2 linked regions of the Drosophila melanogaster genome follow. The gene in region 1 interacts genetically with each later gene. Each region holds a gene or a part of one and is shown on either strand. Other genes may lie near its edges. The genes, in order: Paics and tok.

Region 1 (9,306 bases):
TCGATTTTGCGAGGCCCCACTGTACCCATATTACATACATATGTATGTATGTATGTATGTATGTATGTATGTAGAAACCGCTTTACGATCTTGTATTACGTGTTGGTGTTTTGCATGTAGTTGGTTAACAATGTTGTTTTTGCCATTTTACTCTGGTCTTTGTGTGTGCACCGATCGGCTTGTTTCTTGTGCCGACTGAATAATCAAGTCACAGTTCCAGTTCCACCGCACAGCACCCCGTAGCAAAACCCTCGCTCCCTCCCCCCGCAACCAACACTTCGGTCAGTGGCTCGGCACCCAGCAACAACCAGTTATATGTACACACATATATACATATAGCCATATCCACACATACATAAAGTACGTACATGTGCGTGTGTATGGTTCGGAAGGGGGGGGGGAACCGGTTTCCTTTTACTGTCTTGCATATTTTTAGCAACAAGTTGAAAGAGTTGCCTCGCCAAATGGGTACAGTGGGGCCTCGCAAAATCGAACTTACATATGTATGTATATTGTTCGACTTTAAATGTTTATTTAAATGTTGAAGAATGTTTATTTTTGGAAACTGAATGGTCCTCTTTTGGGCATCGGTTCAATATCGTTTGAAATATAGAATATGCATATTAAAGAAAATATTGCAAATTGAAATTAATGAATGTGGCCTGTAGCCGGCAGAGTGCGAGGGAGATGGCAGCGGGTGGGAGCGAGATGTGAAACAGTAAAATTATAATGAAAACGTGTAGAGCGATCGACTGCGATCGGCATTCGCGCTTGTAACAAAACAGTTTTTATTCGCAAAAACAAAAAGAAAGAAAGAAGAAAACCGAATCGGCAAACAGAAACAAGAAATATGTACAACAAAGAAACCCCTTGCGGTCGATGTGGAATTGGTTGAGAGGGGGGTGGCGTAGACGGATGCCACAATAGCAATAGCCACCGCAAACATAGCGCTGCGTCATTGACGTCGGCAAAGCAGCAACAGAGGCAGCGGCAGCGGCAGAGGCGACGCCGCAAAACAATTGCCGGCCATTGTTGTCGTTGTATTTGCAGTTGTTTTGTTGTAGCTGGGACCCCAACGTCGCAGTCACTCACATTTTAGCCCCAAAAGAAAAGGGCATGCTCGAATATGGACGCGGGTTCAACCTGCATAGTTTAAAGAACTGAACCTCTTAGTGCTGGCACTCAAATTGAGGTTAGGTCGAGGTTCCCGCGTAAGTAATTTTTTGCTAGCTTTATGTTTTATAAAAGAAGTTATTCTATTTTGATAATTTTTCGTTTTCTTAGCTCTAAACAAGCGTTTTTAGGCAAGTTTTTGTATCTAAAAACTTTTTTTTATAATTATCTACTGTATACACTAGTTGCTCGCTTCGCTTAAAAACTTTAAATATGTATATTAAGATATATACTTATTAATATTAATGTTAATTCAGTTTGACTATATCTGAATTTCTGAAACGCAATATCCCAAAAGCTAAAATGGCAGGGTATTTTCTTATGAACCAAGCTCTTGTCTTTTTTGTGTTTTCCTTAGTTTTCTCAACATTTTGTTACATTTGCTTTGCCATTCATATTTCTTATTGCTTATTGTTGTTTCCAACAACAGCAGACACTTGTGAGCGGGGTGTGGCAGGCGGCGGGGGGTGGTGTTTCGGTTGGTGCGCCAGAGGGAGAGGCAAAACACAATGGCCACACTTTGACCCTGACTTTTAATGTGTACATTCGCCGTCTCACTCGCACCCTTCACCCGTCCCGCTTCTCTTATGCTAAATTATTGTTATTATTATGAATTGTGCTTCGTTGTTTGTGTTTGTGCTTGTGCTTGTGTTTGTATTTTTGTGGTGTTGTCTGCTAAACACTAAAGTATGATTAATTGACCTGCGGTGGCCGGCGCACTTTAGCACATATTTTCCCGGTCTCAGTACTCCCCGTCTCCCCGTCTCCACGCCTCCCAATCCCCTCTACCACAAGGTATCCATATGATTTTCCCAAGGGGCATATATATACATATGTACATACATGTATTGTAGGTTCAACATCATTAGTAGTTTACTGCTATTAGCAGTTTAATTTGCATAACTAAATTGGCCTTTATCAATTATGTACATATATTACTATATTTAATATATATACCTAGTTTTATTAATGTAAATTTTTCAAGACAATTAAGCTAAACATAGCTATATTTAAAATGAAAATAAAGTTCATTGGTTTACATTTGATAAATAACTCTTTTATTTACATTTTTTGGAAATTTATCTACAATTTCTCTTTTCTCCAAACGTGGTTTTTAATACATTTTTTTTAGCATTCTAGATGCTATTTTAATATATAAACTATACACATGGCTAATTCCCGTTTTTTGTTTTGTTTAATAGAGCCAAGAATCACGTTTAAAAAGTGCAACAGTTTAGTCATTCAAATCGTCATCGTCTCAGCCCAAAAGTATGCTACTAATTAGTTTGAACTAAAAATTGGCAAAAATAAACAAAAAAAAACTTATTGTCGGTTCTAAATTCAAACTAAATCAATTTAAAAATTGGCTAGGGAACGAATGCAGATTTCTTCTAAACGTTGCTCAAAATCAACACAAAGTCAAAAGAATAACTGTTTTGAGCAGCTAATTACCAATGCTAACAATCCCTATCACCTTTTCAAGGATTTAGAAAAATTTATTTTTTGACCAATTTTTGCATATTTTGGTAAGGTAAATTTACAAAAAATGGCAAAAAAATAGAAATACAATTTTTGGACACAGTTGAATTGGAAATTTAATTACGAGCTCGACGAGATATGGCATTCCATACTCAGACAATTATTTTTAAAGTTGCGTCCAAGAAAGGGAATGTTTTTACTCCAAAAATGGAGAAACATTCAATCACATTTACGTGTAATCCATGCTATATTTCTTTTATATTTATAAAAAATTCAGCTCAAAGTGCGTAACATTTAAAATGTAATTTTTATTTTTTGTTATTTCGAGTTCGTAACCTGTCAAGAACGTGGTACAACAAGTTGAAGTCATGCTTTCCTAATACTAATAAAAAAATGTTTGGTTTCAAAAAAAAAAAAATAGGAGAAAGAAGAATTAACAAAGTATGTGATCTGATGATGACCTTTATGGGATCCCTGGATGATCGCCGAACGGCAATGATCAGGGAAGGATTCTCTATATATGGCCTCCTGGTTGATATCCAATGCTGATATCTCCCACCATAAGCTATGATAACCAGCAACTAAGCATTTCGCACGCCGCGCAACTCCTTGTCGGCCTTCTTGAGAGTGATAAAGTTGTTGAGCGCCTTGACACGCAATTTCGACCAGACCATGAAGTTGCCCAGCCCCAGAATGGTGGCCGCATGCAGAGCAGCTGCCTCTGGATAGAGAACTGTGGCACAGCCCAGCCCCGATGGCAGATTCAAGCTGGACCACACGTCCACCTGCATGTTGTCCGATTTGACGGGCGGACAATTGATTACCGGATAGTTGGTGCTGCCGGAAACGACTGGACCCAGTCCATTGGATCGCCCGGCGACGGCCACAAAGATCAAGTTGCTCATCACCGATTCATATTCGCGGACAATGCGCAACGTTTCCTCCGGTCCCTTGTGGGCCGAACTCACGCGAAGTTCCACATTAAGGCCGAGGGATCGACAGCTGGTGGCTATCTTCTCGCTGTGCGATATATCGGAAGCACTGCCCATCAGAATGACAACCAGGTGATCCTTCTTGGGCACAATATCAGCCAGTTGTTCGGCCACCCAAATGAAGTTCCTCTTTACGGTATCCAAATCGCTGGCCGTCACCGATGCCAGATTGCGATACACCTGCTTGTCGACCATCAAACGCTTGTCACCCGCTGGCCACAAGCGCCACGAATCGGAATCAATGATATCGGCCAGAACTATGTTGCCATCGTCGCAGATACCGAACTCCACTTTCATGTCGATCAGGGCGCAATTCTTGGTCTGCCATGCCCTCTCGAGAATCTCGAAGACCAGCAGTGTGGTTCTACGCATAATGTCCACCTCATCTTGGCCTAAAGAAAAACATGTTGCCAGTTTTAGATTTGTATATGTAAAAGTGCTTTATGCCGCAAGTACCCACCGATCACCAGGCCATTTAGCTCGAACTTGGCGGAGACAATTTGCTCCTCGCTCCACTGGGGATCGTGGTTGGCATCATCCTTGAAGAACGTCTCCTGTTTGGGCGGCGAGAACCTGCGCAATGCAAATGTAATTGTAGTAATAAGGCAGCAAATTGAGGCAAATAGATGAATAAATTAAATATCAAGTGACATTTGTATTACTTCTAGTATAATATATATTCTACAGTAACTCAAAGAGGCGAACTTGTTGGCAATCAAAGCCATAAAAAAGAGCTATTGCCTTGGTATGACGACATCAAATGAAACGAATTTACACATAGCATCTCAGCAGCATTGCCCTGGCGAAAATCTTGACTTGAATTACAGATTTCGTGGGCTTTGAGTTCACAAACGATCAATCTTATCAGCGATTGTTGACCCTGCTGCAGTGCATCGATTGCATTTGAATTTGTTTACCGCAAGCGGACACAGATAACACACAGATCGCAACAAATCGAATGGGGTGATAACCCACAGCCAGCCATTGGCTGTTTACCAACCTGTAGCCCTCGGGCACGCCGACATTGCGCTTGAGGAACGAACCGGTGGCCAGGCGACGGGTCACCCACTCAATGGGTATCATCTGGCACTTGCGGGCGATGAAGGCCTTGGCGCCGCACTGCTTCACATAGGCGGTGCGAATGCCTGTCGAATAAGAAGCATTAATTAATTAATTAATTGATCAATTTGGTTAGAAATTGACTAAAATGCATTATAGTTGATTTGACTTATATGGTTTAGCAACTCACCTGCCTCGTTGAGCAGCCGGAAGACCTGACCGTTGGTGGTATTGGAGATCTCCGCCTTGCCGGCCAGATCATGTGCTTTGACACCATCGCCGGCGGTGATGCGATCCTTGCTGAGGAGCAGGCAAAGTCCTGGCTGCTCTGGCAGATCGTACACCTGTTTGGTTTTGCCCTCGATGATGACCTTGCCGAGCTTATAGCCCTCTACTGTGGAAATTCAAGTTGCAGTTGCATTCGTTACGTTCGGTGTTTAGTTAGTATTTAGAATCGATGCTATATGATATATGATGATACTGATTTAAGGAATGGAAAGACAACTTGTTTACGAAATCCACAATTATCTTGATTTAAACAATGGAAAGCCAGCCTTCTTGTTTACAGCAGACAGCTCAATAAACAGCATTAAAATATTATCAGAACCAGGAAAATATTCCGTTGTTTTATTTTTTTGAGTAACCCGAATAACTGTTTAAATAAATCCAAGGCTGGCGGGAAAACATAAACAACTGTCTTGCTTTCCATCACATTAAGCTTGTCTTTTATTGATGAAAGATCGAATAAAAGATGGTAGCTTTGGTACTATTTACGTTCTAGGCACAACAATTGTTTATTTGGAAACCTTGGCGATGGATAAACTTACTGGATGCTGTTGTGGTGGTGGACATCTCGTTAATCGCACGTTGTTGGTCACTTCACTTTAAGAATCGAAATTGAAATCAATTGGCTGCTGGCTGTTTCACGTGTTGCGGGCTTTGCTTTATGCTCGATATTCGCTGGTGCCTTCCCTCTCGCTCTCGCTCTCTATCTCTCTCTCTGTCTTTTTCGCTCTCTCCGCTTGGCTCTATTATTACAATCCGCAAACTCCGATGTTCGTCTGCATCAAAGAATCGCTCCAAAGCAACTGAGCGTCTATAGAATCGCCGGCGCGACTTTATGGCTCGATTTTCTTATCGCCGAACCCCAACACCAATGCAAAGAGATCCATGTGTTTGCGCTCGCGTGTGTGTGCTTGCGTGTGGGTGTGTGTGTGGGCTTAGAGTCGAGTATAATGCTGATTGGTAATACCCTGCAGTTTCCCAAATGGCCGATGAACACCGCGCGGGGCAACTTATGTACTTATGTACATACATACATATGTACATTTTTTGGCAATCTATAAAGCTTTGCTTATGCGTGACAAATTTTATTGTCGCATTTTATTTACAAATTTTGTTTCTAAAATATTTTCTATTCATTTGGTGACTTTCTGAATTTTGAATTTTTCTTGATTTTTGTCCATTCTCCAACTCCTGACATCCACCTCGTCCTGCCTAACATGCTCATCCTGTGATCCTGATCTCTGTCTTTGTCTCTGTCTCTATCTCTCCAGTAGGTAGCCTCTTTATCGTCTTGTTGGCTGAACTGCTCTTTTTGGTGATTGTATGTGTGTATGAAACTTTTCCTTGAGGGAAAAAACGTATATTTCTGGTGAACCCATCTCCGCCGTGTCAATTTGCTCCTCCTAGTGTTCCAAAGCATTGCGTTGCGATCGTCTTCAGTTCAGTTGTTTTGTAGAAAATATATGTATTTTCACTTCTCTCACAAGTGGTTTATTTGAGTGTATTCCTTCTCCTCGGCGGTTTTCTGTCTTTTGAACAAACCAACGTAGTTTTATGCTCCTCTTTAGAATTCTCCTCCTCGCTATCCTCCTCATCCATCACCAGTTGGCCATTTAATGTCGGAAACTTAATGACCGGCAAAATTTTGCGCTGCTGATTGCTTTCATTCATAAGCTTCTTGATGAGATTAGCGATATCCTCACGCTTCTTGGTTACTGTGAGCAGGTCAAACCAATTGCTCAGCTCCTTAATGGGCAGTGTATAGTCGTTGATGGGTTTTGTGAAGAATTGCTCCACATATTGCAGCAGATAGAGGCCGCAATCTGTAAGATTCTGCTGTTGCGGCACCTCCACACTATGACCGGGCATATTATCCTTGTTAAAGACATGCGCCAGCGCATTCGGATACTTGGCCTTGTGCTCACAGGTGAGATAATCCCGCAATATGGCAATCGCTCGATGTCTTGAGGTGACTGCCAACGAATCGAAAATAAGTATCAACGGCTGTTTGATGGGAATATCATCACTGAGTGTCGTCTGCACATTATTATTGTTTACCACCGGGCTTCTAAGGTTTGGATAACATATAATGGCCAGTATCCAATGGGACTGCTCATTGAATGGTATTATAATGAAGTCCTTGTCGAATATATTGACGTTTCGTGTCCACTTCTCAACCCTTTCGTGACGCTTCTGGGCCGCCGTCTGCTTCGTATTTCTGGGATTCGTTCGTGTGGTCAATCTTTTGTGGAAAAACGTGCTAAAGATATGCGTCCTATCGCGCTGTTCCTCTGGTATGATGTTATTCTTTAGCCAGCGCAGATAAAAATCAATGATTATATCGTTCAGATACGATCCTTTACTGAGACACATAAAGTCCTTGATGGTGATGCTCAGGCCACCGGTACCAGTTGGCGGATATGTGAAAAGGGTTTGATTCTCATCGGGTGAAAGTCTTCTCTCGGTTTGGCCATCATCGGCGGCGGTGGTCTCCTCATCACCGCTGCTCACCAGCACCACGGCATCTTCATCAACGTCCCTGCTTAGTATCCAATTGCGATTTCGGCGCAGGCGACTACGCTCTGCGCGTTCTGCTGGTGTGGGTATAGCAGCGTCGCTAGTTGCTTTCACCGCTGGCGAGGATATGGATGCAACATTCGATTGCACCCGCGATTGAGATCCACCAGCTGTCTCTTCCGATTTCTTGCTAACAGCGGCATTGTTCCTCGACTGGATCCACTGGGAGATTGCGGGAGCATCTTCAGCTGGTTGCACGCCCCGAAGACCATTACTCGTCATTGTAGAATTGGAGGTTATAGCCGTGGAGTTGTGACTTCCCTGTTTATTGCCAGATGAACTAGGGTTGTCATGAGAACTAGCAGCTTGAATTCCATTGTTATCCTTTGCAATATGGCACTTCTTCTGTTTCTTGGCCTTGGTATTAGTATTGGCGTCTTGATCCGCCGACAATATCACTTGGCCATCATTGTTTTCTCCCGGACTCCCGCAAGGACTTTTCTTGTGCTTCTTGCCTTTGGTTGCACTTGCAGCTGGCTGGCAACCATTGTTGGCCACCGCAGTCTCTGATGGTTTGACAACCGCAGGGGAGTGCTCTTCACCGGCCATCGCATTGGGTGGAGCGGCATCAGCCGATGATGCCTTTGACTGATGCACCTTCCTATAGAACTCCTCCGCATGGGCAACCGTCTCGGCAATGTTATCACTGATGGGGAAGCCCACAGAGACAACCAAATGGATAATACCGCCGGCATTCTCAATGCAATCAATCGTGGTGCTCTCATCGATCTGAAGGTCCATTTGGAAAAACAGATCCTGCACCCTACACGCAAGATTCGGCAGCTTGAAGGTGACGATGTGCTGCTTTCCACTGCTGTAGATAATCAACATCCTGGCACTTCCTTTGTCCGGATCCGTGTCGGCTCGATTGATCAGCAATTGACGTGAGACTAATATAAAGTCATTATGGGCAATTCGACGTACCGCTTGGTCCTTCGAAACAGTTTCTTTGCGATCCATTTTGGAGCCGGATTCAATAGTATAACATATGTACGTTATATGGGCTGATCTGACTGAACTGAAGTTTCTCGTTTCGATTGCAAATTCTCGGGCTGCTTGATGTGCAAAGTTAACTGGATGGTTGAAGAGTCACCTAACACGGTGACTTTGATCACTATATTCCTTTCATTTTCCAATCTGTGTGTTTTATGCGATATTTGATATCTGTCTATTTTTATTGTTGGGGTAAACGGCGTCCCAAGTGCTGTATCCAAAAATCATCTGTGCGAGTTGCTATCGCCATCGGAGTTTTGCTGCTCATATCGATACATATGTATATGTTTCCAATTGGTATGGATTTTGTGGGGTGTTTTTAAAAATATGTATCGATAGTCCGCTTTGAAATTTGAATGTTGCGAATATTGAAATTAAATAATATTTGAACTGACGAAATATAGGCATTTAAGCGAATCTTAGCTAAGCTAAGTTCTTTGCTTTTCATTTACAAGTATTAGTATTCTTACATGTGGTATTTACAAAGTTATAAGTTCAGCCGTTTGTTGCAAGTTCTTTGTATGGGAATTTTTAAAAACCAAAAATTTATTCTCGTTTTAATTTCAACATTTTGCAAATACAAGTACAGACATTAATCAAATTATAGTTGTGCGTCCGTCATCGGGTCCACCTGTCCGATTTTTAGTCGTCAGCATTGAGCTCCTCTCACCACATGGATCGCTTGGCGGCGATAAGAAAATCAAATGTAAACAAAAATATTATTGTTTTTTTGTTTTTTGCCAAGAGC
Region 2 (9,019 bases), on another chromosome or scaffold:
AAGGATTCAGCATGACTGCGGGCAAACAGAGTTGTTGTTTAGCTCAGTGCCAAGCACTTTGCGACTTTTCGCATTTCTGGACCATTTTCGGCAGCACTCAAGGACATCGAAATGCAGACCACGACTTGGCTAACAAGTGGGCGGAGCAGCAGGACTACGAGCCTCAATTTGGCAACAACTTAATTTCAATTACAGACGCAAAGGCTAGGCCAGCCGAAATGGTATAATGAATGGGGTGACCAGCCCGGGGGCTCAGAGGATCCTTCTGCTTCTGCTGCGGCCGACTTTTATGCGATTTAAAATGCTTCACAAGCGCAAAATGCAGCGAGGCGACTGAACTAACAACAAACAAGCAAACAAACAGACAACCAGATGGGATGATGGCATGACGGAGGGGGATAGCAGGCCAGAGGCCAGGGCACCGAGAGGATGAGGACCCCAAAGGGCAGGACCAGAACCAGAACGAATCCAAAGCCAACGGCAAATAATTAAACTTGGCTGCCTGGCACCTGTGGCCCTTGTACGCCGGTTCAGACCATGGCCAAAAACCCACCCACCCACTTCCCAATGCCCACACCCTTCTTCCTTCAGGCGGTACATCCGTATATCCTGGCCACTGGCTCCTGGCTGCTGTATCCTGCAGCACAGTACAAACGAAATGAGCGGGTGGTCGGGTCGAGTCCTGATTATTTAGCAGCTCGGCATGTGAATGTAAATAAAGTTCAGCCATAAAATACCCCGCAGACAGATAGACAGCCACCCTCCCACTTTTGGGGTCATAATCTGCAACAGAAACAGGACGAAGGTCGATGCAAATAACCAGTGGTCGCCGGAGCAGCAGGATGAACTGAGGCCCAGCGATGCCGTGAAGGGCCTGCGCTTTATTTATAAACCGTGCTAGCAGGAACCGGCACTAAAGTTAAGAAATAATTAATACTAACAACGACGAATGACGAGCGTTGTGTGGCCAGAGGAATCAGTACCCAACACGGCCCATTGGAGACCAGGGATGCGCCTCACCTTGGCATCCCAGTACAGCGTAACCCATCTCATTTCATCATCATCCCTGCAGCCACCCTGCTGTTATTTCGGGTCATGAATAACAATTGCCAGAGAGAAACCAACAGAGGAGCAGGCATCCTACAGAAATATGGCGGCAAAGATTTCTTTTTATGGTGATTGCGTGGGAAAATTGTTGGCAATGGGCTACAAGGCCTGGCAGGCCGGCGATAAAATATGAAAAGAATAAAAGCGTAAAGCAGCTCCCCCAATGCAAATATGAAAAGCGAGTGAAATCCTTTTAATTTGGCAAATAAAAAAGGGCGACTGGGCCAACAAATTCCAGCGAGAAAATGCCCCCCGTTGAGCAAACTGGCGACTTAACTTCTTGCTTGTAAATGCGTGCAAGTGAAAACGATCCGAGAAAACTGACGGCCAGTGAAAAGTTTGTGGCCCAAGTTGGGCTTTGGCCAACTAAAAAGTGGCGAAACCACGGCCAAGGCAATCGAAGCCATTGAGAGCTCAATGAATAGCTTTGCAACGAGGCAAATCTATAAGATATCCTTGACCCTTAAGAATGCCTCAAGATTTCCCGTTTCACTACCACTACTGAACTACCCAATTAGTCTATCGTGCAGACTTTGAAATATGACAAAAAGTGGAAATACTCATAAATTAGTCTCAAGCAAGTAAGTGAAATATAAAATCTGCTTAGTCTTTAATTAATTACACATGGAATGGGGCCACAGCAACGACGACAGTATTCAGCCAACTGGAAGTGGAGCCACTCACCCACACTCATCCCCAGTCAGGCAGACAAACAAGCACTTGCGACATATCATTAACTTTGCTTTATAGCAACCGAAATTGGGAAGAAACCAAGTGATTCGGAGGGAAGGGGGTGCAGAAAAAGTGGCGTGGCAAAAGATGAAGTAAAAATACAGAAGAAGTAGCTTGGGGTGACACTTTCAATGGCAGGGTGCTCCTGTTCTCGAGGACTTTGGAGGAGGATGTGGATGCGACGGCTGCTTGTTAGCAGGATGGTGTCAGCTGTTGTGCCTACATAGGGAAAAATATTTGTATTTCATGGGATCTTACACTGAGAAAATTCAGCGAGCAAACTAATAACGTGCAAGATGTATAAAAGGACAGGAACTTTTGGGTATTTTTCGCAAGTTAATAGTAAATAACTATGATTGAGCCATTTGAAGAATATAGAGACCTATATTTTTATAAATTTTTTTGTTATGTGTAATAAAGACCCTTTCCAAAAAGCCCCCCAATTCATGGCTGCTGTAGCAGATACAGAATACTTAGTAATATCCATAAAATAACTCAAATCTCTTTTGCAGATTTGCCACCCCGCCTGGTTGGCAGGTAAATTTGGGGTTTAATAATGCCTGTGGTCTATCCGGCGTCAAGTGCAGTTATCTTCGGCTGTCCACCTTTTAGATACCTTTTAGATGCCTCCACAGCTCCTCGAACTTAATTCGCTTTTAATTTTTACCCTGCTGCGACAGCTAAAAATGCGGAAAAATCCCCATTGCCATGGCAAAAAAAGAAGAAGACGGAATATAATAAAGTGGAGAACAAGAACCGAAAAATACAGCAGAAATTTGTTAAGCAGGCGCTATCAGTCTGAAGTGCGTGTTCCAGGAAGATGAGGGATGTGGAAGATCTGGGTTCTGGGATGTGGGATGCGGAAACCCAGGGGCTGACAAAGGCAAAAGGAAGTGGACGAGGTGTCCTGGGAAAGGGAATCCAAATGAATTCTATTCAAAGCGCTGCTGCCACAAAATATGAAATGAAATGTTGTCGCTGGGGAGCGAAGGGGGAGGGTGGTGGAGAAATGTTGTTAAGAAATGCATACGCGGGCAATTTTTATTCCTTGCTGTACTGTCCTGTTGGTCCTTCGTCCTGAGAGGGAAGGGCGAGGGAAAGATCCTGCTGCTTAAACACGAAATGCTTAATGGCCAAGTTGCCACAAAACGTTTGCCAGACAAGGGCCAACTCACTGGAGCAAAAATGAAATGCGTTTTCTGGCTCCCAAGGACGAAGGACCTTCCCGTCTGTATGTCTGCCTATGTGTGTGTGTGGGTGTGCTTATTGGAGCGTAAGCAGCCTGGGCAACAATATCAATATGCGTCTTTTGTGCCAAAGCATTTCCCCGCTAACAATTCTACGCCACCGGAAGTTGATATTCTGGCAACCGGAAGTGTTAGGTGTACCGCCCCAGCCCCCCCCCCCCACTCCTCCACAAACTCAATTCAAAAATTTCATATTTTCCATTTCATATTCTTCCACCTTTCTCTACGCATAAATTTCCATCAGCTTCCATTCGGCTGGCACACAAACAAACAAAGTACGCACTGCGCAGCATATGAAAAAGTTCCGAAGACGAGCAGGCAATGCAACCAAAGCAAATTAAGGCTGATGTCTGCCTTCCTGGACCATTTTGGCCTGCCTTTAATTGCCGTCGAAGATCGAGGATCGTTGGTCAAAACAAAGGGGAACATAAAAAAAGAGTAGACTGACTGCCGGGGAAAAAATAAATCAATAAAAGGCCAGACAAGATGAGTTGGGTACACAGAGATCGAGTTCGTTGCCATCGCATAGGAATTCCCTACTATTTCGCGGCTTTTCGCGGCCACCTTGACTTTCGCAATTGTTCCGTATTGCAAAAAAAAAAGAAAAAACAAACAAACAAAATAAGACACACATGTCTGTGCGACACAAAGCGAAATCAGAAATGATTCTATTTTAATTATGCCGGCGGCCTTTAGATTGCCAATTGACGAGATATGTGCTGCGTCTTAACGACGGAATGAAAAGCGGAAAAGTGGAAACCGCACGGCGAAGATAATAGTGTGTGTGTGGCAGTGTGCCTGTGTGTGGTCGCGTAAAACGCAGAACACCCACCAATAATAATCAAGCGATGCTGGTGGTGCTGAAAATCCGGCGGAGACGGGCCGGGGGATTCTCACTGCTGCACACACCGCGTGCCGTTTTTTATTTATAGCCATTCGAATGCTGCGCTCCTATCAGCAGCAACAGCAGCAACAAAGAAGCAACACCTTCAGCCATAGAAACAGCAGCAACATATGAGATTGCAGCAACAGCGGTAACTAAAAAAGTTGCAGCAACATACGCGATAGCAGCAGCAACATTGACATCAGCAGCCGCTTTGGAAACAGCAGCAGCACAAGAGACAGTAGCAACACATGTGACAGCAGCAACAGCAACTATGGAAACAGCTGTAACACATGCAGCAGCAACATATACAGCAGCAACGACAACAGACAGCAGCAGCAGCATCCTCAACAAAAACAGCGTGTTTACTTAACTTATTGTCGTTGGGCGCGGGAAACCAGAGAAATGAATAATAATAAACATGTTCAACGCAAAACCAAAGATCAGGGCAGACACTGATAACGCTGATTTCAATGCACACACACAAAACGATCGTAATCGAATTTCAATCGAGTACGAAGATCACGAGGACAAAATCAGTAATTGGAGGAGCGAAAACCCTTGAATTCACTTGTTGAGTTAGTTAAGTTGCGCTCGCAAATGATGCGAAACTCTGCCGAAATCTCAGCATCCCTTGCAGGTAGAAATATTAAAGGGGTCCTCTTTTTTTTTTGGCCAAACCAATTCGAAACAAGACACTCACTCACTTCACTGGCCAATAAATTTATCCTGCTGCCCTTTGCGGATATTTGCGTTTGGCCATTTGACTCAAACAAGTTTGTTGCCAATATTCTTTTGTTTCGCGACACCGATTCCGAGTTTACAGCGAAAGCACGTCCGTTCACGACCGAAGTTGCTCGCGATTTGAGAACATAAACAGAGCAGACAGATAAACCGAGTCCAAGTCCAAACTGTTCCCACCAAGAGCATGCGCCGAGAACAACTGCGGAAAAGTGCCCAACAGGCGGCTGCGTTTGAACTGCCGCCCCGACGGACGAAAACAAAGGCCACGAATTCACGGGGCCAGTGTCCCTTAGCCAGATCAAAGATCTCCGCGAAGAACTTACATATTTAATTTGTTTACTTTCAAATTTCGAACGATTTTAAACCATTTGTAAGGAAAGCCCTTATTAACTCTTTTCTTATGTTAATTATCATATGAATACTATTTACGAATCACTTACCATAATAGTAACATTTTAAATGGTTAAATACACATAAAATGGTTATCAAGTTATTTCCAATTTTAAACTAATGCCCGTTACAGCCGGCGACGAACAACCCTGGCACAAACGTATCGATAAGAACAGAACTGGTCCCAGGCTATCGGTGCTTGGAAAACATCGGATATCGATGTAGCGCCATTCTTAAACATTGATTTGGTATTTATTTAATATCAACTTTTTTAATGTTTAATCAGAAAACAGTATTTAATATCAAACCAATAGAATTATGATTTTGCTTGAAGCGTAAGGCAAATTTCCCAAAAAGCCATATTGCTTATATATTGTCATATAATGGTATAAAAAGGTATTTATTTTAAAGCTTCCAGGTATTTTCTATCGTTATCGGTGCGGTCACGCTGTGTTAAACTATTTTTGGCAGGCACGGAAATTTTTCTCGCATTAATTGTTGAAATAGAATGACTCAAAAGTGCGAGACAACCAACTGCGGCAAGGATGCGACCCTGCAGTGTCCCACCTGCCTAAAGTTGGGCATCAAGGGCTCATTTTTCTGCTCGCAGCCGTGCTTCAAAGGATTCTGGAAGGAGCACAAGGCGATTCATGCTTTAGCAGGTCAGTTTTAGAAAGTCTTGTTCCTAATGAGTTGGATTGCAATGAAACCATATAATTCTCTTGACTCAGCCGGTGCCTCGAACTCTGCCGAACAGGATGGAGCCTACAATCCATGGCCACATTTCCGCTTCACCGGCAAGCTCCGCCCGTTCCCACAGACTCCCAAGCGAACAGTTCCGAACGCCATACAACGTCCAGATTACGCCGATCATCCAGCAGGACGTTCACTCTCGGAGGAAGCACTGCGGGGCACCAAGATTAAGGTGCTGGACGACGAGGAGATCGAGGGCATGCGAGTGGCCGGCAGATTGGGTCGAGAATGCTTGGATGAGGGTGCCAAAGCCGTGGAGGTGGGCATCACCACCGACGAACTGGATCGTTTGGTCCACGAGGCCGCCATCGAACGGGAGTGCTATCCGTCGCCCCTCAACTACTACAACTTCCCCAAGTCCTGTTGCACATCGGTCAACGAGGTGATTTGCCACGGCATCCCCGATCAGCGTCCTCTACAGGATGGAGATCTATGTAACATCGATGTGACCGTCTATCATCGCGGCTTCCATGGTGATCTCAACGAGACCTTCTTTGTGGGCAATGTCTCGGAGAAGCACAAGAAACTGGTGCAGGTCACCCACGAGGCGCTCAGCAAGGCCATTGAGTTCGTGCGTCCGGGTGAAAAGTATCGCGATATTGGCAACGTGATCCAAAAGTATGTGGCACCACATGGATTCAGCGTGGTGCGCAGCTATTGCGGTCATGGCATTCACCGTGTTTTCCACACAGCTCCCAATGTGCCTCACTATGCCAGTAAGTTTTCGAGCTGGCTAAAAGTACTTTGAATATTATTAATGTCCTTACTTTGCAGAAAACTCTGCCGTAGGAGTAATGGCCCCTGGCCACTGCTTCACCATCGAGCCCATGATCTCCGTTGGCGTCCAGAAGGCTGAAACCTGGCCAGATGACTGGACTGCTGTGACCGCCGATGGCCTGTACTCCGCCCAGTTTGAGCAGACACTGCTGGTCAACGAAACCGGATGCGAGATTCTCACCAAGCGTCGCGAGAACAACGGACAGCCGTGGTTCATGGACAAGATGTGAGGGTCGACCAACTTGGGCTAATACATAACTTCTAGGGCTATCGATCAAGCTTTAATTTGTAATTTTACAATAAAATCTAGAGTTTTTATTCCCAAGTCCAGTTTGGATGGTTTCCATTGTGCCGTTCACTTCTCCAGAGGAGCATAGTTGAGCAGTTTTTCGATAAGATCCACGTGGCCCAGGAGCATGCGACGGCAGCAGTACCTCTTTAGACCCAAAGCATCCAGGGCATCTCTGGGATTGGATTGTAAGATATAATATATATATATTATATGATGAAATGCGGCGTGGAAAGGAGACTTTCCCGCGTGACTTACCCTTCGGTGTATTCCGCTTGCAGGAGACCCAAATACGACTCCCACTTGTTGCCAATGACCTTGCCGCAGGTGAAACAACGGATTGGAATAATCATTTTGTAGATCAGGCTCTAATTCTTAGTTAAATCACGAAAAATGTGCAATCACAACAATGTTTTTGGTAAAATGTGTTTTTACTTGTCATGAGTGTGACCAGAGTGCAGTTGTATTTTTATCTCACCAGCATTACAATGTATCGATAACACAAAAACTTATATCCATTCAAAAAGAACGCTAACGAATATTTGAATAAATTAATGGTTATTTTTATTAACTACCGACTGCTCGCTACATGAATGCGTTTTTTACAAATGAGTGTGTAAATAAATATTTTTGAACAGCGTCGAAGACTAAAAGTGCGTTAACTAATTACTGCTGGCCGTGAGATGCTCGCCGGCCACTTCGACGGAGGTGGATACCTCGAACAAATCTTTGGCTGACTCCTCGCTGTCGCCGTCGTTCCGACCCGCACTGGACACATCCTCCACCGTGCCCTTTTTCACATCATCCGATCTCTTTTGCAGTCGCTATACAAGGAAAGTCTCAAATGTTAGCATACGGAAGAATTTCTTGTCTAATTTTACCTACCGATTCGGCGGCCTCCTCGTCGGGCACAAAGATGCGAAGTGGCGTGTTGGCGCCAAGTTGCTGCTGCACCAATCGCTGGTGCTCCTCGAATGCACTTGCTGCTGGATCCTGAGCCACCTGCTGCTGCTGCTGCTGTTGCAGCTGCTGCGGCGGATGGTGCTGCACTGGTTGCTGCAACTGCTGTTGCTGCTGCTGCAATTGCAAGAGCTGCAACTGATGCTGCTGGTGTTGCTGCTGCAAGTGTTGCTCCTGTGCCTGTGCCTGCAGTTCCTCGAACTGCTGCTGTTGCTGCTGCTGGTACTGCGCCTGAGCCCTCAGCTCCTCCAGATGCAGCTGATGCTGCTGCTGTTGCTCCTGGGCCTGCGCCTTAAGCTCCTCCAGATGCAACTGCTGCTGCTTTTGCAGCTCAATGGCGGCTTGCTCTGTTTCCAGTTGCTGTCGACGTGCCTCCTCCTCTGCGTAGGCCTGCAGCAATTGGGAAGAGTCGTGGGCATGGCCATAGAAGTTGGACACCACGAAGCCACCTTCCGGAACGGAGGCAGTGACCGCTGACGCCACATTGGGCAGGTGGAAGGAGGCCGTCTCGTAGGCACCCTCATTGGGATCACCCAGTGCCGGAGCGGCAATAAGAGCAGCATATTGTGGCGCCGAATCAAGTACAGGATGGATGTTGTGATGTGGATCCTTGGCTGCCTGCAGTATCTGTCCATTGCTGGCTACCTCCTGGGTGAGATCGGCGTTCACGTAACCCGTTTCCACCACCGGTTCCGAGCTGGGCTTGAAAAGCTGCTGCTTGTGGGCCGAGTACAGTTGGTTGGACTGCGTCACCAGGTAGGTGGGATTATAGATGGGAATGTGGGCAGCCGGAATGGCGGCGATAAAGGACTGGGAGTGAACCGCCGGCTGGGCATACTGAATGGGATAGATCTCTGGCGCCGTTTGGGCTGCCGTCTGGGCTCCCACAATCTGAACCAATGGCTGGGCTGGCAGATGGTTACTCTGGACGTCGGCGGGCAGCGGTTTGTTGTTGCTGGGCGTATTGAAAGATTCGGTGGCGGGGCGAATCTTGGTGGTGGGCAGCGAGGGATCCGGATCTGGGGCAAAGAGTTTCTGCGAACCCGAAATGGGATCACGAATGGTTTGGTCATTGGTCTCGTCCTCATGCACACTGTACTTCGGTGGCAAATATGTCTGGGGACGGGCTGAGGAGGA

Evidence for each region.
Region 2: of Paics (region 1) and tok, changing one suppresses a phenotype caused by changing the other (phenotypic suppression), as found in Drosophila melanogaster (one study listed by BioGRID).

Annotation. Positions count from the first base shown.
Region 1 is NC_004354.4:12,754,819-12,764,124, forward strand, and holds Paics (PAICS bifunctional enzyme), read right to left. Parts: upstream 5,800-9,306; 5' UTR 5,556-5,799; coding exon 5,531-5,555; intron 5,098-5,530; coding exon 4,894-5,097; intron 4,790-4,893; coding exon 4,645-4,789; intron 4,218-4,644; coding exon 4,105-4,217; intron 4,037-4,104; coding exon 3,234-4,036; 3' UTR 2,942-3,233; downstream 1-2,941. Other genes in the region: pira (pirate), read right to left, coding at 6,480-8,525. UniProt on the Drosophila melanogaster protein: Bifunctional phosphoribosylaminoimidazole carboxylase and phosphoribosylaminoimidazole succinocarboxamide synthetase catalyzing two reactions of the de novo purine biosynthetic pathway.
Region 2 is NT_033777.3:24,715,874-24,724,892, reverse strand, and holds the start of tok (tolkin), read right to left. Parts: upstream 5,197-9,019; 5' UTR 5,154-5,196; intron 4,837-5,153; exon of another isoform or gene 4,673-4,836; intron 1-4,672. Other genes in the region: CG13630 (uncharacterized protein), read left to right, coding at 5,612-5,765, 5,835-6,572, 6,631-6,863; Polr2L (RNA polymerase II, I and III subunit L), read right to left, coding at 6,989-7,097, 7,181-7,275; CG13627 (uncharacterized protein), read right to left, coding at 7,585-7,746, 7,808-9,019.